Linked DNA regions of Elephas maximus indicus. The main gene of each other region encodes a partner of the protein of the gene in region 2 in a complex. Links are inferred from orthologs where the notes say so. Each region holds a gene or a part of one and is shown on either strand. Other genes may lie near its edges. The genes, in order: ORC4, ORC2, ORC5 and LRWD1.

Region 1 (8,331 bases), about 55 Mb from region 2:
CTCACTCACACTAGCCTCATTTCAAGTGCTGAGTAGCCACATGCTGTTAAAGGCTGCTGTATGGGATAGCATAAGCACAGAACATGATTTCTGCAGTTAAATATTAAAACACAGACAATTTAATAGAAAAACTATGCAAAAGACTTAAAATGGCAATTTAAAAAAATCCAGTTGTCCAATAAACTTTTGAAAGTTTACTGGACAACTGGATTTGTGAACAGGGCAGTGCAAATTAAAAAACAGTAAGATAAAGCTACATTCATCAGGCTGGCAAAAATGAAAAAAGCACATACTGTTGGTGAGAATGTAGAAATTAAGGAAAATCTCAAATCCTGCTGGTGGGAGTATACATTGGTACATCTGTTTTGGAAGACGTTGGCAAAATCTACTGAAGTTGAAGATAAACATATATACCGTACAAAAACGCATGTTTATGTGTATAAAAATATATGTAAAAGAACACTGATAGCAGCATACCTATAATTGCTAAATGCTGGACATAATCCAAGTATTCATCAGCATTAAAAATAACAGAAAAACCATAAAAACCTGTTGCTGTTGAGTTAATCCTGACTGATACTGATACCACGTGTTACAGAGTAGAATGGCTGCATAGTGTTTTCTTGGGTGTAATCTTTATAGAAATGGATTGCCAGGCCTTTCTTTCTTCCACAGTGCCACTGGGTGGGTGGATTTGAACCACCAACCTTAGTTTAGTAGTTGAGGGCAAACTGCGCCAACTAGGGTCAGAATCAACTCGACAGCAACTGGTCATCAACATTAACCAAAACCAAACCCACTGCTGTGAAGTAGATTCCAACCCACAGCCACCCTGTAAGACAGAGCAGGGAACTGCCCCATAGGGGTTCCAAGGCTGTAAATCCTTATGGAGGCAGACTGCCATATCTTCCTCCTGGGGAGCAGGTGGTGGGTTTGAACCGCCCACCTTTTGGTAGGCAGCTGAGCGCTTCAACCACTGCTCTAACAAGGCTCTGGTTCATCAGCATAACCCACTCACTACTGTCGAATTGATTCCAACTCATAGCAAACCCATAGGGTTTCCAAGGTTGTAAATATCCACAGAAGCTGCCTGCCACATCTTTTTCCCACAGAGGTGCTGGTAGCTTGGAACCGCCGACCTTTCCCTTAGCAGTAGATCACAGGTTAGCAGTTGATCGCTTTAGCCACCGCTCCACCAGGGCTCCTTTCACCAGCATTAGACGAGTTAAATTAGTTGAGGCTTACTCACAAAAAGACTTACTATATTATATAATAATTACCATACTCCATAAATGCTATACTATAGTCATCACAGCAATGAAAATATATGAAGAGCAGCTAAATATAATAACAAGGTTAAGTCTTAGCGACTTCAGAGAAAAAAGACATGACATGATAATGTATAATTTCACTTACACATAGTTTAAAGACAGACAAAACTGTATTTTAGGAATACCAACATAAGTGGTTAAAAGAAATACTAGAATGAAAAGCAGTAAAAACCATAAAAATCAGAACAGTGTTAACCTCCAGAAAGGGTGAAAAGGAGGGAATGATTAGAAATGCACGAAGGGAGGAACGATTCTCAGGCACCAGCAATGTTCTAGTTCTTGACTTTGGTAGTGGTTAGAATGCTTGCTTTATATAATTGTTCATTATACTCCACTTCCATGTGCTGTGCACTCTTCTGAATATTCAGTATTTTACCACAAAAAAAAAGATATAAAGAATTGTATCTTAGGCACTTTAACTGCCCCACTATAATTATTTTCTGTTATAAGTTGGAAACTATTTGGTTCACTAGAAAAAAAAACTTAAGGCACAGGATTCTAATTTTGAGTCCATATTACATGATTACATTCAGAAAGGAATAAGTACAAGAATATGATAAATAGGACTCACTGCCAAATACACAGAAAGTCAAACTCAGAAAATAAATAACGTTAATAGCATATCCCAAAAGACCCTTTACAGAATTAAATAATATCAATGCAATAAACATGAGCAAGTTTAGATGATAATCTTTCAAAGTATCTTTACAAAAGAAGGTATTTGAAAGATGTGGAATGTTTTAAGATTGTATAAACAGAAGGTGAAAAAAGGACTGTTATTTTACAATAAAGTTTTATTAATTTAAGTGTATGAATTCTTAAATATTTTTAATTAATTCTGTGTTGATAGCAGCACTCATTATTTCCCCCCAAAATAAAAACGTAGCACTTAATTGAGGAGCAACCAAAGGCTTAAAATCCAAGGCTAGGACCCAAAGAAACTTAAGACAAAATACTCATTTTAAAAACACGGTATTTACACTACAGTAAAAGAAAACTTTATGATGTCGCTTCTCTCTTTACCAACCATAAAACTCATGACCCAGAACTAAATAACCTAATATCCCTCTCTGAGAACAGGCACAGGTTTTGTGTTGCAATAGCAACACAAGATGTGGAGGGAAATTCTTCCACTCAAGACTTCCCTGACTGTTCCTTCCCTCAAGCCGCTCCAGAATTCCAAGAAGGGTTGCGAGGTAAGGACTGAAGAGCACAACACGTAAAATACAAGCAATGCATCTGGTGCCAGAAGCTGGTCAAAATGCACACACGGGGTTTGTCTCTGTCCCTAGACAGGGCCCCTGCCCGAGCTGAGGAAGCAGTTAGCAAGTCACCTGCTGAGGCTCCACAGATCCCATTTCTTACACCCAAGCATCACGTTCCTCGTTCACCACCAAGTTGAGTCGTCATCCCGCTGTAAATCTACTCTCCTGAAGACTCCCTGCGCTCGTCAGAGATTCGGCGGCGGCCTCACCATGAGGCCATGAAACAGAACGAGCCCGCCTGGTCCTGGCCTGTCTGGCCTAGACAAGCCTGCCCCGTCCCCGCATTCCCAGTCTCTTCAGCCTCCCATCCACCCCCTTTCGCTTCGTCTTTCAACACTGGCGTCCCTGTCCCTCGTTCTGAGGCCAAGCTATCCCAATTTACCTCTCAAATAAAATCCTGCTTACCAGGGCACAGACGGAAATCCAGCGACCCCGGGAACAGCTTCTCAGGCTTGCCTCACCGCCTACTTAGCTTGGATTTCACCAGCTGGTGCCAACGGCACGCAACCACTCCCGACATGCCCCGCTCACGCACCGCCTCGCCCACCCCACCCCATTCGCGCCCAAACACGTGACCTCTTTTCGCCTCTGTCCACGCCCACTTCCGTTCCTCCACTTTCCCTTAGGAGGGAGGAGGGGGCGGGGGTAGTTAAAGAGTAACGACTTCCTCCTCTTCCCTGCCCCCGCCCCCTACCCCTGCTACAACTTCTTCCGGGTCACGAGCGCCTCTGCGCCTTCTGGGAAACCATCTCATTTCCTCCCCTCCCCCTCCTCCTGCCCTCAACCAACCAGCCTCCCGTCAGAGAGGGACATGCGCAGTGAGTGCCTCCCATCTCTTCTACCCGAGCCCCCCCTCCCCCCCAAGCAGAGAGACCCCAGCAGCAGCAGCAGCTGATGATGAAGAGAGAGGCAGTGGCAGAGGGGGGGCACCTTTTATTTCTATTTTTAAAGGGACAGGACACTAATTTTACCCCACTTCAACCTTGAATTGAGGGGGGGTGGGGGGAAGGCGGCTGAGCTCCTTCCCCCACCCTCCAGCCGGGAGCCCTGAGAGGGGGATTGAGCCTGAGAGAGAAGGAAAAGGAGTTTCTTCTTCTTCGAAACCCCCCATCCACGACTCCTACCCCCTCACCCCTCCACTCGCCTCCCTCCCGAGCCCCCTCCACCCTCCTCCTCTTTGGCCGTGAGAGGAGGAGAGAAAGAGACCAAAAGCCTCTTAGCAACACAGACCCTTCTCTGCTGCTGCTGCTGTTGCTGCTGGCTGCTGCTGTTGCTGTTGCTGCTGCTGCTGCTGCTGCTGCTGGTGCTGCTGCTGCTGCTGCTGCTTGGCCCTGGCTGGAGACATCTCACTACACCCAGGAGCAGCCACTTCCCCAGCTCTCCTCCTCCTCCTTCGCCTCCTCCTCCTCTACTCCCCCCCTTTATTACCCTTTGTGTCATCCTCCACAGCTCCAGGGAAGGGACTCAAAAGTGGGGGGCAGGAAAGGTAAGTGTGTCTGTGGGGGCTTCATTGCCTTCCTCTGGCTCTGACTTTCACTCCGGGGCAACAGTAACACCAAACCACATACGCAGTGGAGCTCGGGGGTGGTGCTGGGGGGTGAAGGAGGGGTTGGAGTGGGGAGGGGTGTGCGAGGTGGGGTGCCCATCCTGTCAGGGCAGGAAGGGCACTTTTATTTTTATTTGTTGTTGTCAAAAGTGGTTTCTCTTCTCCAGCTAACATCTGATTGTGTCTTGCTCCAATGGGGGAGAATACAAAAACAACCCCCTCCTTCCTCCAATGAGGCGCCAGGGAAAGAGACAGAAAGATGCACACTTTCTAAATGTCACTTAAAAAAATTCATTTGGAGAGCTTTTCTCCTCTTTCCTCAGAAAAAGCTCCACTGCATTTGTTTCTGAGTAGGAAAATGTCGGGGTCTGGATTGTATTGAAACTGGTTATCCATTTGTAGACCTGAGTGTTTTCCCCTATTTAGCCCTGTATGTGATTTGGATATTGACTTCAGTGTTGGAACAGACTTGATTGGTTTTTGCTTTGGGGTTTTAATTTTCCGGTTTTTCGTTTTGTCTCACTTGCATAGGAAATATTCAAAATTTTAGTTGATAGAGGCCTTTCATTAGGTTTTGACTTTTATATTGCATTTTGTGTTGTGTTTTAATTCATGTATCAGTATATAAGTTCAAACCTCAAAAATCTTAAACTTTAAATACCACTGGTATTGTTTTTTGTCAATACATGTTCCTGATAACTTGTTTTCCATAAGATGAGAATAGTAGTTATTTCATAATTGATCTGGTAATTTTTCTAATCTTTGTAACTTCTTTGAACATGTAATCGCCATTGAAAACTTTATGTTGTTCTGGCTTCATGGAAGGCCAAACCTCTCCATCAATAGTTTGCTGCATTGGTACCACTTTCAGTTTTAACTGAATTATTTATTTACTGTTGTAAATTGAGATGAGTTTTTCATCTCATGGGGTACTGAACCAAATTGCTCACTGTATGTGAAAGGAGACAGATTTCTAAAATATGTTCCTGAGTAAAAGAAATCATGAAGTTGTAGTTAGTGTATTAATTGTAGTTAGAAATGTACTAAAAGAAAAATCCAGATTTAAGTTTATAGAATAACAATCTTCATGAAAATCACTATGCTCCATTTTTACATGGTATAGTCTTAGTGAATGGCTCTCATGTTTAGTGTGACATTTTATTTCGCAAATACTAGAAAATTTGTTTCTGATGTAGGCCTTTTACTGGGGCTTATATTGGAAAGTGTCATTTTGTTTCCTATATAAATTTCTTTATCCTTTCCTTGAAGATGGATGCATACATGCATATATACCCACACACACACTCTCTCTTTCACACACTCAAACACACACATTCTCACACCCTTTTTGTAACAGCATTGGTATTTCTGATCCCATAATGGATGTCAGCAAAAAATATTTTTCTATAAAGTAGCAATTTTGTGATCAGACTGGCAATATGAAAACAGCAATTTAATCAACTAGAAATGATTGAAGAAAAATAAACCTAGGAGGACATTTGACGTAAATAATATAAAGACATGATAATAGTTATTTATTTTTTTATTTTCTTGATGAAAATCCCGAGACATAATATACTCATTCTAGTAGCAGAATAGCAGAATAGTAAAATTTTAATTACCAACTGTGTGCAATTAGATGTTTACACACAGGAAAGAAACTGTATAACAGTAAACAACATGATCTTATTTCTCTCCTTTCTGTTATAAATTCAAACAGTTCTTACCTTTCTCTGGGGTGTACTTGGTGCACTTAAGCAGAAACCTGTACCAAGTTCAAGTTTTTCCCACTACATCAATACTTCTAAGTCCACTTAGGATTTCTTGTCTTCACTTAAAACCTCAGTAACTTTAACTTAAAACACAAAACAAAAAAACTTTAACTTAGGAGATAGAAAAGTAGAACTTAGTGAAGAAATCAGTTTTAAGTAAAGCAAATTGTATAGCTAATTGGGGTGGTTTAAGATAGTTGCTCAATATGCAGCTGAGTAAAAACTTACAGTCTTGAGTATAGTACCTTTCCTTAGGTTCTGTTTTTCCTTTGAAGATATTCCTTCTCCCACTCCCACCCTCCCCCCAGGGTAACCCTTTATGGTTTGATGATTTCAGACTTTCTCTAAGTCAGATAATGATTTAAATTTTAAAAAACTCTTTAATGTGTTTTTATTATGGCTTAATTTTTAGGCATTGAGAACTATTGATATTTTAGGATTGTACTTTTTCAGCTAGGTATGATCTTGGAGGTCACTTTATCCAACTCTTCGTTTTCCATATTCTGAACTTCAGAGAGCTTAAAGGACTTGCCCAGGCTTCCATGGCCTGTAAGTAGACAGAGCAGGGACCTGAACTCGAGTCTTTTGACCATCACTCTGTTACACTACCTCATTTTCTTTTGTCCGAAATGAAACTATTACAATTAACTGTTTTATATGAAGGCATATTCTTCTGATAATAAGGCACATAGCTCTAAAACCATAACTGTGTCCATTTATAATTTAGTAATTTGTTGTTGATTTTCTTTAGGAAATACTGGTTTTACCCACTGTGGATTATTGCTATTTTGAGAATCATTTCAGCTTTTCTTAATGCTTACTTTATCGCCAGTACTTCCAATTCAACACTAAATATGCATCTTTCTCTCAAGGATCCATGTTTATAAGAAGAAGTAGAATGCCACCTGTATTACAAATGTTTACTTTTGATTCTTCATCTATGAACTACTTAAGGAAAAAATTTTATTTTTTAACGTTTATATCTGTCATTCCTAGCACAGTGCCTGGTGCATAGTAGGCCCTATTAGTTATTTGCCATAATACCTTTTAGTTTTAGAGTTAGGTGTATTTTAATTTGTTTCCTCACACATATGGGATTCTTTCTCTCCATCTCTTTCTTTTTCCTCTCCTTACTACTCCAGTGTCTTCACTACTACAATTTTTTTTTTCACTGCTGCTCTCACTTTTTCCAGTTAACAGCCAGATTAAATTCTGTCAGCAATATATTACTCATAATAAGACGTAAATGCATATATTCCCTTCTCATCCATGTACAGGATACATTTGACAAAAGTGATTTATTTTGAATAAGGGATGATCAAAAAATTTCACTTAAAAAGGTAGTAGCAAATATTCAGGATACACTTAAACTTCGTTTCTTTAGGGACTGCTGCAGTAATAGGGCATAGGCCGCTTTTACCAGCTCTATAAAGCAACTGTTACTTAGGTGACGTGTTTCCCTGACTTTGTTTTTTTGGTCCTTACCCAGACAATTATCAGCTTTCCAGTTTTCTATGGATATGAAGAATTACTCCTAGTCATCAGTGGGACCCAATGAAGTCAGCCAGAAAGCCTATGTCCAACTAATGTACTTTTGCAAACTTGTCTGGATTTTGAATGTATGTGCGAAAACAAATTGTATTTAGCTATTTATTAAACATCTGTTGACACCTACTGTCTGCCAGATACTGTGCTTAGGCATTTGAGAAGCAAAAGATGGTCCCTGAAGTTTAACGAGGAGCCCTGGTGGTGCAGTGGTTAAGCACTCAGGTGCTAACCGAAAGGTTGGCCGTTTGAACCCACCAGCTGCTCCATAGGAGAAGGATGTGGCGGTCTGCTTCTGTAAAGATTACAACCTTGGAAACTCTATGGGGCAGTTCTGCTCTGTCCTGTAGGGTCGCTATGAGCTGGAATTTACTCGATAGCAGTGGATTTGGTTTTGGGTTTGGCAGTTTAATGTAAACAGATATCTTGTGTTTCAAATTGTATTATATCATTATGTTGATGTTTCTACATAAATTTTATTAGTTAAATGGATACTGTTAGGTGGAAAAATGCATGTTAAGAAGGTTATTGCTGTATTTTATTAAAATACAAACATAAAGAAAAATTTTCCACTTGATAATGTATTCTGGAGATTTTTACTATATATATACTTCACTCACTTTAGGCCATAAAAACAGCATGTGGCTACCATGGCTGGGTTTTAGAGCTGATCATAATGCTTTCATTTGAAGATCACCGATACCGTTCGTTAAAGTAACTCTTATTAAATGGTTCTTAAAAAAAAAAAAAAAAAAAACAGAAAAACTCTCTATAATTTTTTTTTCTGAAAAGTAACTTTTTTTTTTACATCTTATATAATAGGTTATTTTTCATGGTTTCTTGAAAGATATACATTTTCCTTTTAAGTTTTT
Region 2 (7,515 bases):
AGGGTCGCTATGAGTCGGAATCCACTTGACAGCACTGGGTTTGGTTTGGTTTTTGGTATGTATTAGACGGAGTCCCTGGGTGGTGCAAACAATTAACACACCAGGGTGCTAACCGAAAGGTTGGAGGTTTGAGTCTACCCAGAGATGTCCTGGAAGATAGGCCGGGTAATCTACTACTTCTCAAAAATCAGCCACTGGAAACTCTATGAAGCACAGTTCTACTCTGACACGTATGGGCTCACTATGAGTTGCAGGCGACTCAACGGCAACTGGTTTTTATGTGCCATGCACAGTTTGGGCTACTTTATACGTATTCTCATTTAACTCTCACAACAACTCTATGAGGTTTATACTTTCCATATAAACATAACACTATCTAAAATCTATACGGCCACTACCAGTAAAATATGCTTCTAGATCGTTTTTCTAGTTATGATATTTTTCCTATTCTAGGGCATCCTGTTGTATTAGAGAAAAAGTTTAATGCATCTATATGACATTTGTATAAAGAAACTAACAGTTTGAGGGGGGCTCTTTGTCAGGTACTGTATTAGGCCCTTTTACGCACACCAGCTCACTAAATCCTCAGACTACTTGAGGTAGGTATTACATATACTGCTATAATTTTCCCAATTTACAGATGAGTAAAGCTGAGGTTAGGTATTAAATTACTCGCCCAAACTGACATTATTAGAAAGTGTATTAAGGCTGATACCCAAGGCTGATTGAATCCAAAGTTCCTGATCATTCTATTATACCACACACCTCTCCCATCATTAAATAAAAAATCTGTTAACCTAAACTCTTCCTTTGATCTCTAGAAACTATTCATAATAAGTCTAATCATTTTCCCACATGGTACTTCAAATACCCAGAGATTTATATAGGTAGCAGTAATTTTCTGGTTCATTAGGTTAAACATCACCAGTTCTACAAAGCGTACTTCAAACAGCATGCCAGGTTCAGTATAATTATGTTATTTTTACTTAATTATATACTGTTGTGTTCCACAAAGGACTTGAAGCAGTGGTAATGAACAAATGCAAGAAAACAAATGATAAACTATAAATACTAATAGGGAGTGTGGACCAGGGAAAACACAAAGAATAGCAGAAAATAAAAATACAAAGAATTTTTTGGCTCTGAGCTTCCTGGAAATCAAAGTCAAAAGGAATAAAGGTCAGTCATATAATTCTCATCAGCAAAAGTTTAGTAGTTCCTTCAGGAAAATAAAAAAGATTTTCAAAGATAATTTAAAATCAAATATTCTAGGTAACTGAATATTGTCCTAGGTAATTTCCTTATGGCATTTTACATAAGAATTGCCAGGATAGAGGCAGCCTAACTCTTGTTTATAGTCAAATTCATTTATACATGAATTTCCTTAACTAAATTTTAAGGCTTCTCATTATTTAGTACAGAATCACCAAATTGAAGAAATGTCTACAAAGACCTTCCTTCTCCAACAGTCGGGGGGCGGGGGGTGGGGAACTACTCAACAATCACACAATAAATTAACGTGTCATATTTAGTGACCATTTATAACCCTTCAAGGACGCCCCTGCTGGCATAATGGCTAAACGTTTGGCTGCTAACTGAATGGCTGGTGGTTTGAGTCCACTCAGTGCTCCGTGGGAGAAAGATCTGGATCTGCTTCCGTAAAGATTACAGCCTGGGAAACCCTACGGGGCAGTTCTACTCTGTCTTATGGGTCGCTAGGAGTCCCCATCAACCAGAGGGCACATAACAACAACAACATGACCCTTCAAGGCACTGTCCTGGGTGCTTGCTGTGTAAATCAGTTCCTCTCAAGGAGTCAGGGGATAGAAAACTCACACTCAAAGTTAACTGCAAGGCAATATAGCAGCACCAAGTGTTAAAAGCAACACACTCTCCTTTGAGAACAATAAAAATCGTTGCAATTTTAACATAATCCTTTAGAAAGAAAGTGACGTAGGTTAATAGTTAAGCACCAATTTTAACATCACACCTTACAGTTGTGTGATCTTGGATCTCTTAAATGGGATCATGTGCCTGGCATATGAAAGTACTCACTAAACATTCAGTAGTATTGGTATCGTTACTTTAAACTACAATTTTACCATGCAAATCTCCTGTACATCTCTACATTTCATTCAACATCTAACAACAGAAAGTGTGCTCAATAAATGATGATTGGATTATGTTCATTTAATATGCAGTGTGTCCTTACACAAAGATGCAGGACCATGCTATTCTTCCAACTGCTATTTAACTAAGGGACTGTGTCATGGTTCCATTAGGAAATTTTGGTCTAATTTGATTTCAACTGTAAAATGAAAAGTAATACATAAGCATCCTTTTCATTTTAAAAGCTCTATCAAAGGATCCTGGTTTATCAACTTTACAACCAAGCACTGACCCAGGGTGACCGTTCAGTTAGCGGGACTCATTTGGTGCTTCCAGTCTGGGATGAAATCAAAGGTTGTCCCTACAGTGTAGTTCTGGGATGTGATCTCTGAACCCCACATCTCTCACTGTACCTGTTCTTCTCACAGGGCACTCTCCTACTTTCGTTGTACATTTTCATGTGTTCTCCTTTTACAAGCAGAGGGCTCCTTAGGCGAGGGAACAGGCATGTTGGTTTCGGGCGTCCCTAGCATGGAAAGGCTATCACTGCCGGACAGACAGACGAACAGTCTTCCCAGAGGGCGCCTCTTACCGCAACAAATACTACGGACTTCGCCCTGGGCCTCAGTTGCTGACCACCGGGCTGCTCTCCGCCGGCCGGGGGTCCCCGTGCCGCTACGACAGGGGGCTAGCTTGGGGAAGGCGAAGCGGGAGGCGCAGCGACCCTGCCCCAGGTGCTGAGAGGAAGCCCTGAGACACAAAACCCGAAATGCGGACGCCCCAGCTCGGATGCCAAGGCTGTGCTCATCGCAACTCACCTCAGAAGCCCACAGCCAAGCAGAAGGAGGCAGGCTGCCCCGTCGCCCCTCAACGTACCGCTAGGTTCCCGCGGGGCGTGGCCCTGGCCCCCTAGCACCAGCCGGACGCCTCCAGGCTGAGCCGTTGCAGCAGGGAAAGCTGCTTTGGCCCCAGCCAGAGGGACAAGTACTCAAAAGGAACGCCACAGGAGGGCCGAGGTGGGAGAGGAGGCCGGCTGGGGGATGGGAGGCCTGCCAGCCGCACACCAAATCTCCCGCCCTGCTCAGGGGCGGTGCCCGGGACAGCCAATAAGAAACGGAGCCGGCTGAGAACGACGGTTCTGCGGGCCAGTCGGCGCCGGCCAGCCGGCCCCCCTACACCAGGAAATCTGAGGGAAAACGAATCCTCGAGCGTTGGAGTTGTGGGCTTTTCCTTTCCTCTTTCCGTTTCCGGGGAAGGGAGAAGGAAGTGTTGGTTGTATCTGAGGAAATCTGAGATGTTGTTTGGAAAAACTGCGGCTGAGCGTTACTCTATTTTGGGGCAATCTTAGAAGTGATTATTGATTTTAAAAATTTTTTTTTTTTTTTGAGAAAAAATACGGGGACTACTTGCGTTTATTTATTTATTTTTCTCTCCTGTTGTAAAAGGTAGGATCTTGTGCATCTCTAGGATTTGGAGGAGGGGAAACAGCCCTCTATAAAGAAGAGAATTAGGGCCAGAGCACTGAAGATGGAGATGGGATCATACTGCTAATAGGATAAAAAGGCAAGATAAATAGAAGGATTACAAACCCATCGCCAGTGGACTCAATTCAGACTTACAGAAACTCTATATGACAGTAGAACCACCCCACTGGGTTTCCAAGGCTGTAAATCATTATGGAAGCAGATTGTCACAGCTCTCTCCTATGGAGCAGCTGGTGGTTTCAGAACTTTCAACCTTTCCGTTAGCAGCCATTTCAACTACTGCGGCCATCAGGGTGCCACCAGGGCTCCTTAAATAGAAGGAATAGAGGCAGAAAAAGATAATGAGGAAGAAAAGGAAAAGAACCTGGCTGGGATACAGTACTACTCACCAATAATACTATTTTTTAAAAGTGTGAACATACAAGCAATTAAAAGAACAAGACAGGAGCTAAGTTAAAACAAACACAGGCCTGCAGAGAGGACAGCCAATAAGAATCAAGCCTGTTCTTGTCACAGAACTCCAGCTAGTCCCAGGAATTAAGTTTACAGGAACCTCTGAAGTCAGATGAGCAGCATGAAATCTACTAGCTAATAAGCCATACCCTTGCAGGCTGAGCTTTAAGTCAGTTTTAGTATCACCAAACTTTTGAATAAAGCTTCACCTTGCAAAGAGGCAAAAAGACCAAGAAGAAATAGGCTGTACAGAACCCAGAAGAAAATTTATTCCAAACTAGCAAAATCTCAAAGATAAAAGATTTTATATCAACAAAACAAGGAATATAAAGAAGAATGTGATAAACACCTTGTGAGATTGGTTTGAAGGCTTAGGACCACAATAGTGGGACAATTCCATCAACATAGTTCATAACATAGCATAACATGGTTCATAAAGTTTTTGTTCTACACCCTAGTTTGGTGAGTAGCATCTGGGGTCTGAAAAGCTGTGAGTGGCTATCTAAGATACAACTGTTGGTCTCTACTTGTCCAGTACAAAAGAGAAAGAAGGATACCAAAGACTTGAAGAAGAAACTACAGAACTAATAGTCTACACAAACCATGGCCTCATCTACCCTGAGACCAGAAGAACTAGATGGTGCCCTGCTACCAATACCAACCTGACCAGGGACACAATAGATGGTCCCAGATAGAATGGGAAAAAAATGTTGAACAAAATTCAAATTCTTAAAAAAAGGCCAGACTTACTGGAGAAGTTGAGACTAGAGGAACCCTTCAAAACTATCACCCTGAGATACCCTTTAACCTTTGAACTGAGACTGCTCTGGAGGTCACCTTTCAGCTAAGTAACAGATGGGCTCATAAACAATATTACCTGTGTGTACTATGGATGTCAGAAGAGACTCTGAAACTTGCTCTTGAACATCGAATAGTTAAAGCAAAAGGAAGAAATGAGGAAGTAAAAGAGTTGAACAGAAGGTCTCAAAGGGCAGCTCGAGAAGGCAAAGTAAAGTACTATAATGACATGTGCAAAGACCTGGAGGTAGAAAACAAAAAGGGAAGAACACGCTCGGTGTTTCTCAAGCTGAAAGAGCTAAAGAAAAAAATTCAAGCCTTGAGTTGCAGTACTGAAGGATTCTATAGGGAAAATATTAAACGATTCAGGAAGCATCAAAAGAAGATGAAGGAATATACAGAGTCACTGTACCAAAAAGAATTGGTCGACGTTCAACCATGTCAGGAGGTAGCATATGATCAGGAACCGACGGTACAGAAGGAAGAAGTCCAAGAAGGGACTGGCAAAAAACAGGGCTCCAAGAATTGGTGGAATACCAATTGAAATGTTTCAATAAACAGATGCAACACTGGAAGTGCTCACTTGTCTATACTAAGAAATTTAAAAGACAGCTACCTGGCCAGTTGACTGGAAGAGATCCATATTAATGCCTATTCCCAAGAAAGGTGATTTAACTGAATACGGAAATTATCAATATCACTAATTTGACACACAAGTAAAATTTTGCTGAAGATCATTCAAAAGCAGCTGCAGCAGTATATCAATAGGGAACCACCAGAAATTCAAGCCAGATTCACAAGAGGACATAGAACAAGGGGTATCATTGCTGATGTCAGATGGATCCTGGCTGAAAGCAGAGAATACCAGAAAGATGTTTACCTGTGTTTTATTGACTATGCAAAGGCATTGGACTGTGTGGATCATTATAAATTATGGATAATACTGCAGAGAATGGGATTTCCAGAACACTTAATTGTGCTCATGAGGAACCTCTACATAGTTCAAGAGGCAGTAGTTCAAAAAGAACAAGGGGATACTGTGTAGTTTAAAATCAGGAAAGGTGTATGTCAGGTTGTATCCTTTCACCATACCTATTCAATCTGTATGCAGAGCAAATAATCCGGGAACCTGGACTGTATGAAGAACTGGGCATCAGAATTGGAGGAAGACTCATTAACAACCTACACTTTGCAGATGATACAACCTTGCGTGCTGAAAGTGAAGAGGACTTCAAGCACTTACTGATGAAGGTCAAAGACTGCAGCCTTCAGTATGGATCACACCTCAATATAAAGAAACCAAAAATCCTCACAAGGGACCAATAAGCAACATGACGATAAATGGAGAAAAGATCGAAGTTGTCAAGGATTTCATTTTACTAGGATCTACAATCAATGCCCATGGAAGCAGCCGTCAAGAAATCTAAAGATGCATTGCATTGGGTAAATCTGCAGCAAAAGACCTCTTTAAAGTGTTAAAAGGTAAAGATGTCAACTTGAAGACTAAGGTGCACCTGACCCATGCCATGGTGTTTTCAGTTGCCTCACATGCATGCGAAAGCTGGGTGATGAATAAGGAGGATGGAAGAAGAATTGACACCTTTGAATTGTGGTGTTGGTGAAGCCTGGTGAATATACCATGGACTGCCAAAAGAATGTACAAATTTGTCTCGGAAGAAGTACAACCAGAATGCTCCTTAGAAGCAAGGATAGCGAGACTATCTCACTTGCTTTGGAAATGTTATCAGGAGGGATCTGTTCCTGGAGAAGAACATCATGCTTGGTAAAGTAGAGGGTCAGCGAAAAAGTGGAAGACACTCAACAAGATGGAGTGACACAGTGGCTGCAACAATGGGCTCAAGCGTAACAATGATTTTAAGGATGGTGGAGGACTGGGCAGTGTTTCATTCTATTGTACGTAGGGTTGCTATGAGTCAGAACTGACTCGACAGCACCTGACAACAACACTATGTTCCTTTAAAAAAATTATCTGTATGAGATCAAATGGTCAACAGTTATCCTGAAGCACAGAGGAGAAGGTAAGGGGAGGTAAGGAAACTAGATTAATGCAAATGGAACAACCAGAATGGGAATAATGAGAATGCTGACACATTGTGAAAAGCGTAACCAATGTCACTGAAAAATATGTATTGAAAAAAAACCCAAAACCAAACCCACTGCCGTCAAGTCGATTCTGACTCATAGCGATCCTACAGGACAGGGTAAAGCAGGATTTCCAAGAAGCAGCTGGTGGATTCAAACTGCCAACCTTTTGGTTAGCAGCCAAGCTCTTAACACTGTGCTACCAGGGCTCCAAAAGTCCCCTTAGGAGAAGATAATGAGAAAAACAATATGTATAGAAATTGTTAAATGGGAACCTAATTTGCTGTGTAAACTTTCATCAAAAAACAAAATAAAATATTAAAAAAAAGAATGAGTTATCAAATTTAGATTTTTAAAAGTAATTCTTAAAGTTTTATTTAATTTTGAAACAGCAGACTGTAACATCAGTATATCAGCTGCAGATTTTTTTTCACCAATGACTCCTCTGTCAACACAAAGAGGAAAATCAGTTATGTCTCTACATATTTTTCCTCAGGGAGTTGACTGACTTAAAAAAGTAAAATCATTTTTCAAGTTTAATTATTTTTGTATTCAAAAGGTTTTTTTT
Region 3 (7,342 bases), on a different chromosome or scaffold from region 2:
TTTAAAATTTGTTCCAGAAGCAGCCTTAAGGTAAAACATTCAACGCAATTCACAAAGACATGTGGGAGCTGAAAAAAAAGTATAAACAGAAAAGATACATAAACAATAACAGCTATGGTGGATATTCTCCACTTGTCCTTCTAAATTTTTACATCCCACCATTCTCCAGCCCACTCTGTGCCACCAGAAGCTGAACTTTACAAACTGCATCACCCAGACTCTCTTACTTCCTGCTGTGGTTGGATTCAGCAAATGGGAGAAACCAGCAAGAAACTAAAGGAGAGTGGTAGGAGAGAAAAGTTGGATATTTATTCTCTGGACTCCCCACCTGGTGTTCCACAGTTTAACAGTGGCAATATTCTTCCACCAGAGATCACAGCTCTTAGGCAGCAGCTCTTCTAAGACTAGAACTCTTGATAGGTCCTAGTAACAACTCCTCCTCATGGCTCTTTCAGGTCTAGAAATGGTAAAGTCTTCCCACTGTTACCAGTCCCTCGATGCCTCACCATTTTTACTGGTTCCCTTAATGCATCCTCAACCTTTGTAAAATAGCTCCTTCACTAAACTTACATCAATTATTCTTTTGAGTTTGCCATTTGTTTCCTGCAGGGACTCAAAGTCAAACTTGTGTTTTCCTCTAACTGAACTGCACACGTGAAAAATGTTCAAATGGCAAAGGCTGTTACTTACATTTTTACAAAACAAGAAAAAAAAAATCCAAGTACATTTGAATGTTAAAATTCTTAGTGAGAATTTCATGTTTATAATTTTAAGATGATATCCTTAATAGATGAATAAACCTAGATCAAGAAAGGAATTGTAAGAACCAGAAACTATAGTAACCCTTCTATCATAGGAACTAGTTCTTCACTTAGAGAACTATCAAAACGGAGAAAATCCAAAAAGTAATAAGGAATTAAAGATTTACTCAAGAACAAAGTCTATTTTCCTCAAAATGAGATTACAAAAGCAGTAATAATCTTTCAGAGAAAGAAAACTTGTGGCATTTGACACAATTAATAGCATCTATAGATATGTCTCTTTTCTGGAAACCATGGTGCTGTAGTGGTTAACAGCTATGGCTGCTAACCAAAAGGTGGGTAGTTTGAATTCACCAGGCGCTCCTTGAAAACTCTGTGGGGCAGTTCTACTCTGTCCTTTAGGGTTGCTATGAGTTGGAATCAACTCAATGGCAATGGGTTTTTTTTTTTTTAATAGCTATTTTTAGTGATATTCTATAAATCTTGCCCAATAGGAGACATTTTTCTCTTGCAGAGTTACAGTGTAATAAGACTACATTACACTTACCTAGGCAGTTTCACCAGCATTTACTGACTACCCCTGCCCTCCCCATCCCATTCCTTTACGAACGAAAGGTTACAGCATCTCAGTCGTGAATAAGTGCCTTGCTTACTGTATTCATGCTATCTATGACCTTTAATGCAAGCATATTCTAAGTGTCAGGGGCATAATTTTTGTGTACCTGTACAAGTAGTGATAATTATCACTTATTACACTGATTAAGCAGAAGCAAAAATTGTAAGGTGTTCAAAAACGGAATACAGGCACTAAATATAGAACTTCCTTACTGGGTTTGCATTCTTTATTCAACATATATTTTTGGAAACTTCATATAGGGAGGTCCTCCAGTGCAAATGCCTGGGCCAGACTCTTGGACACTATGATCCTGAAGTCTAGGCATCTGTGTTTTTTTAAAATGCATAGCTGATCTTGAGGATCAAAGGCTGAAATCCACAAGCACTGTGCTTGGTACTGGGGATACTCTCAAAAAACTTGACAATCCAGAGCCAGGAAAAGACAAACACAAAATCAGAGCTCACAGAATTAAGCACAGGGTACTGAGGCTGTAGAGCAGAAGAGCAACTAACACAACATTGTGGACTCAGGAAAAGCTTCCCAGAGTGTAGGTAAAAGAAAATCTGGTAACATTAATGGGCATTTGCCAAGAAATGGGGTAGTAGAGGAGAAACAAGTAAAGAAAAGCCATTCCAAGCAGAAGGGGCAGTATGTGCCAAGGCTAGGATATAGCAGTAGGAACTGTAAATAGTTCAGTATGCCATACTAAACATGCACATTCAGGGTTTAGGATTATTACTAGGCAGTGAAAATTAGAAAGAAATTTGGCTCAACTTAAACCAATGACTTTCTAACATTTAGGCTCAAGTTATCTAATAATGCCCTTTGAGGGTTACAGTCTCTGGAGTTATTCAAATAAAAGTTGACCAGGCATGTTCTATGTAGAAGATACTCCTTTAGAAGAAAGTAAACTAGACTAGATAATCTCCCAGGTCCCTTCGACTTCTAGGAATCTATGAGTAAAAATCACCTAACATCGTTTGGGGGTTATTCTTACCTCTAAGGTTTTCAACAAAGTTTGTGTGACATAGGTCTTTCCACTGGCTGTATGTCCATAAATAAAAATGGATGGAAAGCTGAAATGGTGTCTCTAGGGTAGAAAAGCCAAGCATCAGTCGGCACGTATAAAACAGAAAAGAAACTTACCAATTCACATCAGAAAGCTTTATGTACTTAAACAAAATACTCAATCAAATTTATTTCAACAGTGAGCATACAGTGGATTCATCATTGTACTCTGAACTTAACTGAATTAAACTCTAAGTGATTTCTCTGTTACGTACTTAAAATTTCTGTAAAGTTTTAGTTTACATATTACATACTACATACATGATTAAAAGGAGCCCTGGTGGTGTAGTAGTTAAGTGCTCAGCTGCTAACTGAAAGGTCAGTGGTTCAAACCCAGCAGCCACTCCACGGGAGAAAGATGTGGCCGTCTGCTTCCGTAAAGATTACGGCTTTGACATTTGACAAAGCCCAACACCCATTCATGATAAAAACTCTCAGCAAAATAGGAACAGAAGGAAAATTCCTCAACATAATAAAGGGCATTTATACAAAGCCAACAGCCAACATCATCCTAAATGGGGAGAGTCTGAAAGCATTTACCTTGAGAACGGGAACCAGACAAGGATGCCCTTTATCACCACTCTTATTCGACATTGTGCTGGAGGTCCTAGCGAGAGCAATTAGGCTAGACAAAGAAATAAAGGGCATCTGGATTGGCAAGGAAGAAGTAAAATTATCGCTATTTGCAGATGACATGATCTTATACACAGAAAACCCTAAGGAATCCTCCAGAAAACTACTCAAACTAATAGAAGAGTTCGGCAGAGTTTCAGGTTACAAGATAAACACACAAAAATCACTTGGATTCCTCTACGTCAACAAAAAGAACATCGAAGAGGAAATCACCAAATCAATACCATTCACAGTAGCCCCCAAGAAGATAAAATACTTAGGAATAAATCTTACCAAGGATGTAAAAGACCTATACAAAGAAAACTACAAAGTACTAGTGCAAGAAACTAAAAGGGACCTACATAAACGGAAAAACATACCTTGCTCATGGCTAGGAAGATTTAACATAGTAAAAATATCTATTCCACCAAAAGCCATCTATATATACAATGCACTTCCAATCCAAATTCCAATGACATTTTTTAACGTGATGGAGAAACAAATCACCAACTTCATATGGAAGGGAAAGAAGCCCCGGATAAGTAAAGCATTACTGAAAAAGAAGAACAAAGTGGGAGGCCTCACTCTACCTGATTTTACAACATATTATACAGCCACAGTAGTCAAAACAGCCTGGTACTGGTACGACAACAGGCACATAGACCAATGGAACAGAATTGAGAACCCAGATATAAATCCATCCACATATGAGCAGCTGATATTTGACAAAGGCCCAGTGTCAGTTAATTGGAGAAAAGGTAGTCTTTTTAACAAATGGTGCTGGCATAACCGGATATCCATCTGCAAAAAAATTAAACAGGACCCATACCTCACACCATGCACAAAAACTAACTCCAAATGGATCAAAGACCTAAACATAAAGACTAAAACGATAAAGAGCATGGAAAAAAAAAATAGGGACAACGTTAGGAGCCCTAATACAAGGCATAAACAGAATACAAAACATTACTAAAAATGACGAAGAGAAACCAGATAACTGGGAGCTCCTAAAAATCAACCACCTATGCTCATCTAAAGACTTCACCAAAAGAGTAAAAACACCACCTACAGACTGGGAAAAAATTTTCAGCTATGACATCTCCAAAAAGCGCCTGATCTCTAAAATCCATATGATTCTGTTAAAACTCAACCACAAAAAGACAAACAACCCAATTAAAAATTGGGCAAAGGATATGAACATACACTTTACTAAAGAAGATATTCAGGTGGCTAACAGATACATAAGAAAATGCTCTCGATCATTAGCCATTAGAGAAATGCAAATTAAAACTACGATGAGATTCCATCTCACTCCAACAAGGCTGGCATTAATCCAAAAAACACTAACTAATAAATGTTGGAGAGGCTGTGGAAAGATTGGAACACTTATACACTGCTGGTGGGAATGTCAAATGGTACAACCACTTTGGAAATCCATCTGGCGTTTCCTTAAAAAGCTAGAAATAGAACTACCATATAACCCAGAAATCCCACTCCTCGGAATATATCCTAGAGAAACAAGAGCCTTTACATGAACAGATATATGCACACCCATGTTTACTGCAGCACTGTTTACAACAGCAAAAAGCAAGAAGCAACCAAGGTGCCCATCCATGGACGAATGGATAAATTATGGTACATTCACACAATGGAATACTACACATCGATAAAGAACAACGATGACTCTGTGAAACATTTCATAACATGGAGGAACCTGGAAGCCATTATGCTGAGTGAAATTAGTCACAGGCAAAAGGACAAATATTGTATAAGACCACTATTATAAGATCTTGAGAAATAGTATAAACTGAGAACACATTCTTTTGTGGTTACGAGAGAAGGGAGGGAGGGAGGGAGGGAGGGAGACGGTTATTTACTGATTAGATAGCAGATAAGAACTACTTTAGGTGAAGGCAAGGACAACACTCAATACAGGGGAGGTCAGCTCAACTGGACTGGACCAAAAGCAAAGAACTTTCCTGAATAAACCAAATGCTTAGAAGGTCAGCGAAGCAAGGGCGGGGGTTTGGGGACTATGGCTTCAGGGGACATTTAAGTCAATTGGCAAAATAAATTCTATTAAGATAACATTCTGCATCCCACTTTGAAGTGTGGTGTCTCAAGTCTTAAACATGAACAAGCGGCCATCTAAGATGCATCAATTAGTGTCAACCAACCTGGACCAAAGGTAAATGAAGGACACCAAGGTCACAAGGTAATCATGAGCCCAAGAGACAGAAAGGGCCACATGAACTAGAAACTACATCATCCTGAGACCAGAAGAACTAGATGGTGCCCAGCCACAACCGATGACTGCCCTGAGCACAACAGAGAACCTCTGAGGGAGCAGGAGAACAGTGGGATGCAGACCCCAAATTCTCATAAAAAGACCAGACTGAGACTAGAAGAATCCCAGCGGTCATGGTCCCCAAAACTCCTGTTAGCCGAGGACAGGAACCATTCCCAAAGCCAACCCATCAGACATGGACTGGACTGGACAATGAGTTGGAGAGAGATGCTGATAAAGAGTGAGCTACTTGCATCAGGTGGACACTTGAGACTATGTTGGCAACTCCTGTCTGGAGGGGAGATGGGAGGGTAAAGGGGGTTAGAAACTGGCAAACAGTCACGAAAGGAGAGACTGGAAGGAGGGAGCGGGCTGACTCATTAGGGGAGAGTAAGTAGGGAGTATGTAGTAAGCTGTATATAAGTTTATATGTGAGAGACTGACTTGTAAACTTTCACTTAAAGCACAATAAAAATTATTTAAAAAAAAAAAAATCCACTCGTCCCAAATTCAAGTTTGTACACATTCTGTTATTTTAAAAACAGCCCGACAGCTAACAGATACATGAGAAAATGCTCTTGATCATTAGCCTTTAGAAAAATGCAAATTAAAACTACGATGAGATTCCATCTCACTCCAACAAGGCTGGCATTAATCCAAAAAACACAAAATAATAAATGTTGGAGAGGCTGCAGAGAGATTGGAACACTTATCCACTGCTGGTGGGAATGTCAAATGATACAACCACTTTGGAAATCAATCTGGCGTTTTCTTAAAACGTTAGAAATAGAACTACCATACCATCCAGAAATCCCACTCCTCAGAATATACCCTAGAGAAATAAGAACCTTTACATGAACGGATATATGCACACCCATGTTTACTGCAGCTCTGTTTACGACAGCAAAAAACTGGAAGCAACCAAGGTGTCCATCAATAGATGAATGGTTAAATAAATTATGGTATATTCACACAATGGAATACTACGCGTTGATAAAGAACGGTGACGAATCTGTGAAACATTTCATAACATGGAGGAACCTGGAAGCCATTATGCTGAGCGAAATTAGTCAGATGCAAAAGGACAAATATTGTATAAGAGCACTATTATAAGATCTTCAGAAACAGTATAAACTGAGAAGAACACATACTTTTGTGGTTACAAGAGGGGGGAGGGAGGGAGGGTGGGTGGGAGAGGATTATTTACTGATTAGTTAGTAGATAAGAACTACTTTAGGTGAAGGAAGAACAATACTCAATACACAGAAGGTCAGCTCAACTGGACTGGACAAAAAGCAAAGAAGTTCCCTGAATAAACTGAACGCTTCGAAGGTCAGCGGAGCAAGGGCGGGGGTTTGGGGACTATGGCTTAAGGGGACTTCTAAGTCAATTGGCATAATAAACTCTATTATAAAAACGTTCTGCATCCCACTTTGAAGTGTGGCGTCTGGGGTCTTAAATGCTAACAAGCGGCCATCTAAGATGCATCAATTGGTCTCAACCCACCTGGATCAAAGGAGAATGAAGAACACCAAGGCCACACAATAACTATGAGCCCAAGAGACAGAAAGGGCCACATGAACCAGAGACTTACATCATCCTGAGACCAGAAGAACTAGATGGTGCCTGGCCACAACCAATGACTGCCCTGACAGGGAGCACAACAGAGAACTCCTGAGGGAGCAGGAGAACAGTGGGATGCAGACACCAAATTCTCATAAAAAGACCAGACTTAATGGTTTGACTGAGACTAGAAGAATCCCGGCGGTCACGGTCCCCAAACCTTGTGTTGGCCCAGGACAGGAACCATTCCCGAAGACAACTCATCAGACATGGAAGGGACTTGACAATGGGTGGGAGAGAGACGCTGATGAAGAGTGAACTACTTTTATCAGGTGGACACTTGAGACTGCGATGGCATCTCCTGTCTGGAGGGGAGATGGGAGAGTAGAGAGGGTTAGGAACTGGCAAAACGGTAACAAAAGGAGAGACTGGAAG
Region 4 (7,264 bases), on a different chromosome or scaffold from region 2:
CAAGGAGCAGCTGGTGGATTCGAACTGCCACCCTTTTGGTCAGCAGCCTGAGCTATTAACCACTGTGCCACCAGGGCTCCGTATTGCTGATCGAAACCAAAAAAACCAAATCCACTGCCGTCGAGTCAACTCCGACTCATAGCGACCCTATTACTGCTTCTAAAATCCCTCCCTCGGCTTCTGATACACTTTCCTCTTCGACTTTCTTTCTTTCTTTTGAGGGGAAATATCAATTAGAAGTTTATTTGGTCGTAAAATTATGCACGTTTATTATCAACCTTAAATGGTATTTGCTTACCCACAAAGCTTGGAAGAAATTGGCTCATTGCAGATTTAAAAGCATTTCTTACTACTATCCCAGGGGATGAAAGTATTACAAGGGTCTCTTTAAAATTCAAAGGAGCTAAAGAACATGGTACAAACACTGTTGGTCTCTAGTACAGAAAGGAATAGCGCCTTTTTTTTTTTTTTTTTTAAGTACTCCTCCCCAGCCATTTATTTGAATGGAGGAAGAATGACTTGCCTTTAAGCAAGGAGTTGTTTAGGTTGATCTTGTCTTGAAGCATGTAACAGTGTTCACTAAGGAAAAAAAAAAAACACATTTCAGGCTTGGACAGTTGCCTGCACCTCCTTGGTGAGCCACTGGTAAACCTCTGTAGTAGTGGAAATACTTTCGGCCTGGTGTTAATATTTGGTATTTGTTAAAAATAGCCTGGCCGCATCCCTTCATTAGGAGTAAGGCAATGCTTTTAGCTCCCGGCAAAGTTTGTTTCTCGGCTGGGATGATACGAAGGCAGTGCGTGGGACAGCAAGTTCCAATCATGCAGCCTAGCAGTGCATCAGAGCAGAAAAACTTAGCTTCAGACTTATACTTGAAGATGGCGGCACGGTGTGATGGTCCTTCGGGGGCGTAAAAAGTCAAACACGGGGGCAATGAACTCTTACAGACGTGTGTTTTATTTCCTTGCAGTGACTTTGAAATCTTGCAAGAGCTATGGAAAAGGAGTGTCTTGCTGACTCCGAGTTATGTCGTTCTTGCTGGCGTTTAGGCCTCTGATCAAAACAGCTGGTCTCTGCTGTTTCTCCTTATGCACATGGGCCCACACAATACTTTCACTGTGCAGAGCAAATTGTTGGGTTGTCAGAAGTGAAGATGCAGCTTTCTTTGCCGCCCTGGAGCGAATGGATCCATTACAAGAGGAAAACTTTGTGCATTCCTTTAGACACGGGAAGGGTTTATTAAAGAATATCATGGTATGGTATATTTTTCTCACTGGCCACCCATGTTGTTACTTTGACATTCTGTTGCCTATAAAAAGCCTGTTTTTCTTCATGATAAAATTATCTGCAGCTTGACTTCTTCCATTTATGTCTAATTCTTCCCTAACCTTTATCTGCCATTGAGTCAGCTTCAACTCATTGTGACCTCATATGTATCAGAGCAAAACTGTACTCCATAGGGTCCTCGATGGCCGATTTTTTGGAAGGAGATTGCCAGGGCTTTCTTCTGAGGCACCCCGGGCAGCCCTGAACCCCCAACCCTTCAGCTGGAATTTTACATGTTATCTTTGTCTTTTCCCATATGCGACTGCTGTTTTTTTTAACTTGGCTATAAATGTACATATAATTCTATATTCTGCTTTTTATTATAGCAAATGTTGTTCTTTTTATGAAATACACTTTATAATGTCTACAATGACTTAACCAAACTTGAGGTTAAGGGCACAGTCCTCCAGACTGCCAAGTCTGCCCAAGACTTCAGACACCAGCTGCAAATTCAGGGGTCCAGAAGGCCATCCTCCCTTCTGTCCAGCCTGCTGCCAATTCGGGGGTCCCCATGGATTCTCTCAGGTTCATATAAATTGCTAAGGCGACTCACAGACCCTCGGGAAGTGCTATACTTAAAATTACAGTTTTATTATAGCCAAAGGATACAGATCAGAACCAGCCTAAGAGACACATAGAGTGGAACCTGGAACCGGGAGAGTTCCAAAGGCGAACCTTTTGTGTTCTTAGGGATGAATTACTCTCTTCCGGCGACGATATGTGCCAGTACACGCAAGGAGTACTGCCAACCCAGGAAGCTCACCTGAGCTTGGTGTCCAGAGTTTTATTGGGGGCTTTATTATGTAGGCATGATTGATTAAATCATTCTGTATGTTGTTCAACTCAATCTCCAGCCCCCTCCTCTCCCCTGGAGGCTGAGCTGACATCACATAGCTCAAAGTCCCAACCTCTGATCACATGGTTGGTCTTTTCTTGTGTGGCCAGCCCCCATCCCGAGTCATCTCCTTATCATAAACTATCTAGGGGCCCACCATAAGTTCTTCTGGCTTTCTTGACTAACGTAAGAGTTAGAACCTAACGTAGTATTTGCTGGATTATATGTACCACTCAGTTTTAATCCTCAGGACAACCCCAGGAGGTAGGGACCATAGCTGCTCCTGCATGTGAGGCTCTGGCCAGAGCTTGCCCAGCTAGGACTGCAAAGCCCATCAAAGCTCCACCCTGGCCCTCTGTGGCCTCTCTTCTCTCCCTGCTCCCATCCCCAGGGCCCTACTGCTGGTCCTCCATTCTTCTCTCACTGTTCTCGCCCCCTGAAGCTTCACCTTCAGCCTCTGACTTCAGCTTAGATGTCTCCTGAGCTTTGGGCCACCATCTCCTGTCTCCTGGACCCCTCGCACTGGACATCTTGCTCTCCTCATCCAACAACCATCCAAGCTGGGATGGTGCCACCCCACAGTGCCCCATGTCTCCAGGCTTATGGCCACCAGCCTGAACTGTTTCAGGCCCCCAGCACTTCTACTGTGAACACCGCAGAGATTTCTCCACTGGCTTCCCAGCCTCCATACCTTCATACCATGCCTCTCAGTCTACCCCAGGAGCTTTTTAAAATTCACATCTGACCGTTTAGGAGCTCCCTGTGGACTTTAGGACACATCCACCCTGCTCAGTGGACACACAGGCGTCTCCGTCGGCAGGCTCCATTGCTTTTTCCAGCCTGAGCCTCACTCCACTCTCCAAGCACATGCACTTCCCCCAGGCCTTTGTCTAAGCAGCTCCAACATGGACCGTGCTTGCAGCCAACTAAAATATTTCCAGGCCACGTGGCGCAGTGGTTAAAGTGATCACTGCTAACCAAAAGGTCCGCAATTCAAAATCATCAGAGACTCCAGGGGAGAAAGATGAGGTAGTCTGCTTCCTAAAGATTTACACCTTTGGAAACCCTAAACCCACTTTCGCTATTGGTCAGAATCAACTCCACAGCAGTGGGTTAAGTTTTTGGTTAAATAGGAATTAATATTCTCCTTGAGTGGTTAAGCGTTGGCTGCTAACCAGGTCGCCAGTTCGAATCTGGCAGCCGCTCCTTGGAAACTCTATGGGGCAGTTCTACTCTGTCCTATAGGGTCGCTATGAGTCAGAATTGACTGAACAGCAACGATTTTTTTTTTCTTTTTGGACAATTTCGGTCCAAGTTGTTTGGGGCCCCTTTGCCCTGGCTTCCCCCACCCTCACTCTTTCTGTCTTCTCCCCAGGTCCCGTGAAGCTCAGCACCAGACAGGGAGGGGCTAGGTCGAGGTTTGCTGACACACTCCCCAAGGTCCCGGAGGTGAACTGTGATTGGACGACACCCCACGTGGAGGAGCCCCTTCTCTACACCCAAGACCACTCCTCAAAGCCCTCATCCCCTCACCCTGCAACGCCCCGGGCTCCTGACAGTCTGGTCCTGGCCCGTCTCGTGACTAATCTGGGCCTCAGTTTCCCCATATGTAGAATGGAGTTTGTGGGCGCGGTCCATGTCCCAGTCCTTACCTGCGGAGGGAGCTGCCAGGACAGGTCACCACCGCGCTGCCGCTCGCAGATCAGACAGGTCCTGATGCCCTTGCAGCCACATTCCTGAAGGACCTCTGGTGCCTCTGCCACCGTCGCCGCCGCCATAGCCCCGCCCGGGCAGCCAGGACGCAGGCGCGGGGCCGCGTGGGCCGCTGGGAGTTGTAGTCCTCACCGCTGGACACGTGGTCCGAGGGCCCGCTTCCTTCCGGTCTTCACCGCTGACGGGCTCGCGAGGCGCCGCCTTCTGGGCTTGCTCACCGCCGGGCGACAGTACCGGGCTTCTCGAACGCTGGAGCTGCCGTTGGTGGCGGCACGGGCCACGCCTTCTCGCCATGGGCCCCCTCTCGACGCGGCTGCTGATGCAGCGTGGCCGGCCCAAGAGCGATCGGCTTGGGAAGATCCGCAGCCTGGAGTAAGGGCTGGGCCGGGGGCGAGGTTGTGTCCGCGGGATCAGGGCCACACAGCCCGCCACCCAGGCTGTCTGGGCTGCCCGGGCCTGGGCTGCCGGGGGTCGGGAAGAAAGCCTGGGGCCCTCCCCGACTCCATGCCCATCCCGGTTAGCGCCTCTTCGGTTCGCCATCGCCCCATCGCCAGGTGCCTTCCTCTAGTGACACGGGGCCGAACCGCCACCCTACCCGTGTGCCCCCTGGGCCCCGAGTGGCCTTACTCCGGAAAAGTGCCCTGACTGCTAGGGTGACAGACAGTGTTGATATAACTGGGGTGGGGGGGCCGTGGGGAGCACAGGGAGCCCCCAGAGGATCAGGAAAACCATCCTGGAGGGGACTATGCTCGGCTGAGCCCTGAAGTATGGCAAGATTAAAAATAAGTAAATAAAAAGTGTGAGGGGTGGGGAGGAAGGGGTTGTGCATGTTCCAGAAATGTGAGGGGAGAAGGCCATCTGAGGCCAGGGGCAGCTGGAGGTGTAGGGTGGGAGGCATGCCGGCCCCCTGCTTGCCCCCTGAGCCTTCCACGTCTGCCTCCCTCCTCACCTCAGCCTGTCAGGGCTGAAGCTACGCTCTGAGCACTTGGACCCCAGTCTCCTGGGCCGCCTAAGGCAGCTGCAAGAGCTGGACTTGTCCAACAACCAGCTGGACACACTGCCTGCCAACCTGGGCCTGTCCCACCTGCGCATCCTCCGCTGTGCCAACAACCAGCTGGGGGACGTCACTTTCTTGTGCCAGTTCCCACAGCTCGAGGAGCTCAGCCTGGAGGGCAACCCCTTCCTGACGGTGAGTGCCTCCCCCAGGCCCCAGGCCCTGGGGCCAGGACTCTTCTGGGATCAGATGGGCAGCCTCTGAGCCATGGTTCCCTTATCTCCCAGGTCAGTGACAACCTGAAAGTCTCCTTTCTCCTGCCCAAGCTCCGTAAGGTCAATGGCAAAGAGGCTTCCGCAACTTTCTCTCAGGTGGAGAACCTGAACCGGGAGCTGACCAGCAGGGTAAGGGCAGTGTCTCTGGGAAGCTGGAGGCAGCATTGAGGAGGGAGTGCAGAATGAGACATTTGGAGGACACTGAGGGCTGCTGTCCTGACACAAAGGGGCCCTTACATCCCTAAGCCTGGCCTGAGCCAGGTGCTGCCTCTCCTCTGAAGTCAGGTGCTTGGGCTGTGGTCTTTGGAAGCCCTGCCCTCCAGGTTTGCAGGCAGGGCCCAGCAGGAGAGGCTGGGTGATTTTCATTAGTATCCTACCAGGCTTGACCCTGGGGCAGTTCTTCCCATTCTGGGGCTGTTCCTGATACGCGCATATTGCTTAGGTTTGTGCAGCCTGCAGATAAGAAGGCTGTGGTTCAGACAGGCTTCCAGGTGATGAGGTCGAGATGCTTGTGGCTGTGATGACTTTGGGAGCAGTGGTGCCTCGGGGGGCCCAGGAGAGCTGGGGTGGACTGGATGGACTGGACCTGGATCTGGTCCCTCTTGTACCAGGTCACTGCTCACTGGGAGAAGTTCATGGCTGCCCTAGGCCCCAAGGAGAAGGCTGAGAAGGTCCAGGCCGACTTTGTGAGGTCTGCTGTCAGGGATGTTCGCTATGGGCCTGAGTCCCTCAGCGAGTTCACCCAGTGGCGGGTAAGTCGTTCAGGAGGTTGGTTCTCCTACTTCCTCGCTAGCTCTTGTGGCCTATAGCTGCACTGGGGGGGGTCTCTGGCCCGTGAGGGGTAAGGAGTTGTGGGGAGTAGGGGGGTTAGAGAAGGCCCTTTCCCAACTCCAGAAGGACAGGCTGGGGTCACTCAGGACTGTGCCCAGCTTCCGGATTACCTGGCCCCACCCAGGTACGGATGATCTCTGAGGAGCTGGTGGCCTCTGGTGGGACCCAGGTGCCTAAGGCAGACAACCTAGAGAGGCCTGTGGAAGCCGCAGCCACCCGTGAGTCCAGGGTGAGTACGAGTAAGGTTCCTTGTGGCTCCCCAGTGCTCTGTGTGCCCGCTACCTCCATCCTGCCTGCCTAGGGCAGCCATGGGGGAGCGAGGGTCCTAGAAATGAGCCCAGGTGACAAGGGGCTGTGGTCCAGCCTGTCACGGGGAGGAAGGAAGCCCCAGGCAGATGGGCCTATTGTCACAAAGCCCTCAGCCTATCCCTGCCCCCTCCGCAGGCCAGGCTGATGGCCTTGAAACGGCCACATGATGTCCCACTCAACCTCTTTCCCAACAAGCGGGTGTGTACCTCCCCATCAGCCCAGGTGGAGGGCGGCCCCATGGGCTCTGACGGCAGCCAGGTAAGCTGGCAAATGGCAGGGAGCAGGTGGTGGGGTGAACAGGGCCTGTGGCAGCCATGACCCCTCTGTCCCCAGGCTGGCCTGAGGCTGGAGCCCCTGCACTTCCTGCAGTGCCACAGCAAGAACAACAACCCCCAGGATCTCCAGACCCAGCTGTGGGCCTGCGCATTCGAGCCGGCCGGGGAGGAGGGTATGTCCTTGGTGGGCGGGCCACGGGAAACAAGAGCCAGCAGGCTTTCTGGATAGAGGGTGCCGGAATGCACCCTAGAGGGGCAGCCTTGGTGGACTGGGGAGTTGGGAGGGCCAGAGAGCTTAGAAAACATCAGCAGGGCCAGGAGGAGGCAGCCACAGGGAAGAACTTTAACAAAAATGTTTTCACTAGGCTGACCCCCTCCAAACAGGGCATTCGGAGGACACATCCCAGACTGTGGCCACTTGCGGCGGGGAGGCCGTCTGTGTGATCGACTGCCAGACAGGCATCGTGCTCCACAAGTACAAGGTGCCAGGCGAGGTGAGTAGCAGAGCCATGTCCCGCAGGGTGGCCCACAGAGTCCTGGGATGGGGGGTCTAGACTCAGCCGGCTCCTGACCATGTGGCCTTTTTCTTTTATGCTGGGCCTCCGTCCCCAGGCTCAATCTGTCATGCATGTTCACCCATGTAGCTTGATGCCCTCAGTGACCCCTTCCCCTACTCCACACACCCCAGGAGTTCTTCTCAGTGGCC

The links.
Region 1: the proteins of ORC2 (region 2) and ORC4 are in contact, whole or in part, in a cryo-EM structure (PDB 7JPP), measured with the Homo sapiens proteins. The link is inferred for Elephas maximus indicus from reciprocal best matches to the Homo sapiens genes ORC2 and ORC4. Residues at the interface, in NP_006181.1 of Homo sapiens: Asp501, Asp504, Tyr508, Ser512, Gln518, Glu522, Val554; in NP_001177808.1 of Homo sapiens: Lys168, Asn169, Arg195, Glu200, Leu201, Lys204, Arg205.
Region 3: the proteins of ORC2 (region 2) and ORC5 are in contact, whole or in part, in a cryo-EM structure (PDB 7JPO), measured with the Homo sapiens proteins. The link is inferred for Elephas maximus indicus from reciprocal best matches to the Homo sapiens genes ORC2 and ORC5. Residues at the interface, in NP_006181.1 of Homo sapiens: Val240, Glu241, Tyr243, Phe244, Glu245, Ser248, Asp396, Gln398, Arg401, Gly402, Glu403, His426, Asn428, Ala429, Pro430, Leu431, Met432, Trp433, Asp434, His435, Gln438, Trp445; in NP_002544.1 of Homo sapiens: Asp324, Lys325, Phe328, Leu329, Leu359, Asp360, Arg361, Ala364, Tyr367, Ser368, Ala378, Asn379, Phe381, Ser382, Gln383, Thr385, Ser386, Thr389, Asp400, Gln401, Leu402, Asp403, Tyr407.
Region 4: the proteins of ORC2 (region 2) and LRWD1 are in contact, whole or in part, in a crystal structure (PDB 8SIU), measured with the Rattus norvegicus proteins. The link is inferred for Elephas maximus indicus from reciprocal best matches to the Homo sapiens genes ORC2 and LRWD1. Residues at the interface, in NP_001012003.1 of Rattus norvegicus: Val11, Pro12, Ser13, Val14, Gln15, Phe16, Val17, Gly18, Asp19, Val22, Leu23, Ser24, His25, Ile26, Leu27, Asp28; in XP_038945348.1 of Rattus norvegicus: Pro262, Leu263, His264, Phe265, Leu266, Gln267, Cys268, Ser270, Asn273, Ser274, Pro275, Leu320, Val321, Leu322, His323, Lys324, Tyr325, Lys326, Leu367, Val369, Gly372, Phe373, Cys374, Pro596, Pro598, Val599, Ala600, Val605, Ile630.

Annotation. Positions count from the first base shown.
Region 1 is NC_064824.1:44,913,733-44,922,063, forward strand, and holds the start of ORC4 (origin recognition complex subunit 4), read right to left. Parts: upstream 3,125-8,331; 5' UTR 3,002-3,124; intron 1-3,001. UniProt on the Homo sapiens protein: Component of the origin recognition complex (ORC) that binds origins of replication. DNA-binding is ATP-dependent. The specific DNA sequences that define origins of replication have not been identified yet.
Region 2 is NC_064824.1:99,650,166-99,657,680, forward strand, and holds the start of ORC2 (origin recognition complex subunit 2), read right to left. Parts: upstream 3,215-7,515; 5' UTR 2,928-3,214; intron 1-2,927. UniProt on the Homo sapiens protein: Component of the origin recognition complex (ORC) that binds origins of replication. DNA-binding is ATP-dependent. The specific DNA sequences that define origins of replication have not been identified yet.
Region 3 is NC_064826.1:45,402,358-45,409,699, reverse strand, and holds the start of ORC5 (origin recognition complex subunit 5), read right to left. Parts: upstream 3,327-7,342; 5' UTR 3,142-3,326; coding exon 2,986-3,141; intron 2,468-2,985; coding exon 2,375-2,467; intron 69-2,374; coding exon 1-68. UniProt on the Homo sapiens protein: Component of the origin recognition complex (ORC) that binds origins of replication. DNA-binding is ATP-dependent. The specific DNA sequences that define origins of replication have not been identified yet.
Region 4 is NC_064830.1:93,960,076-93,967,339, forward strand, and holds the start of LRWD1 (leucine-rich repeat and WD repeat-containing protein 1), read left to right. Parts: upstream 1-4,036; 5' UTR 4,037-4,166; coding exon 4,167-4,246; intron 4,247-4,828; coding exon 4,829-5,063; intron 5,064-5,155; coding exon 5,156-5,272; intron 5,273-5,754; coding exon 5,755-5,895; intron 5,896-6,098; coding exon 6,099-6,203; intron 6,204-6,418; coding exon 6,419-6,541; intron 6,542-6,616; coding exon 6,617-6,731; intron 6,732-6,942; coding exon 6,943-7,052; intron 7,053-7,246; coding exon 7,247-7,264. Other genes in the region: ALKBH4 (alpha-ketoglutarate-dependent dioxygenase alkB homolog 4), read right to left, coding at 3,814-3,939. UniProt on the Homo sapiens protein: Required for G1/S transition. Recruits and stabilizes the origin recognition complex (ORC) onto chromatin during G1 to establish pre-replication complex (preRC) and to heterochromatic sites in post-replicated cells.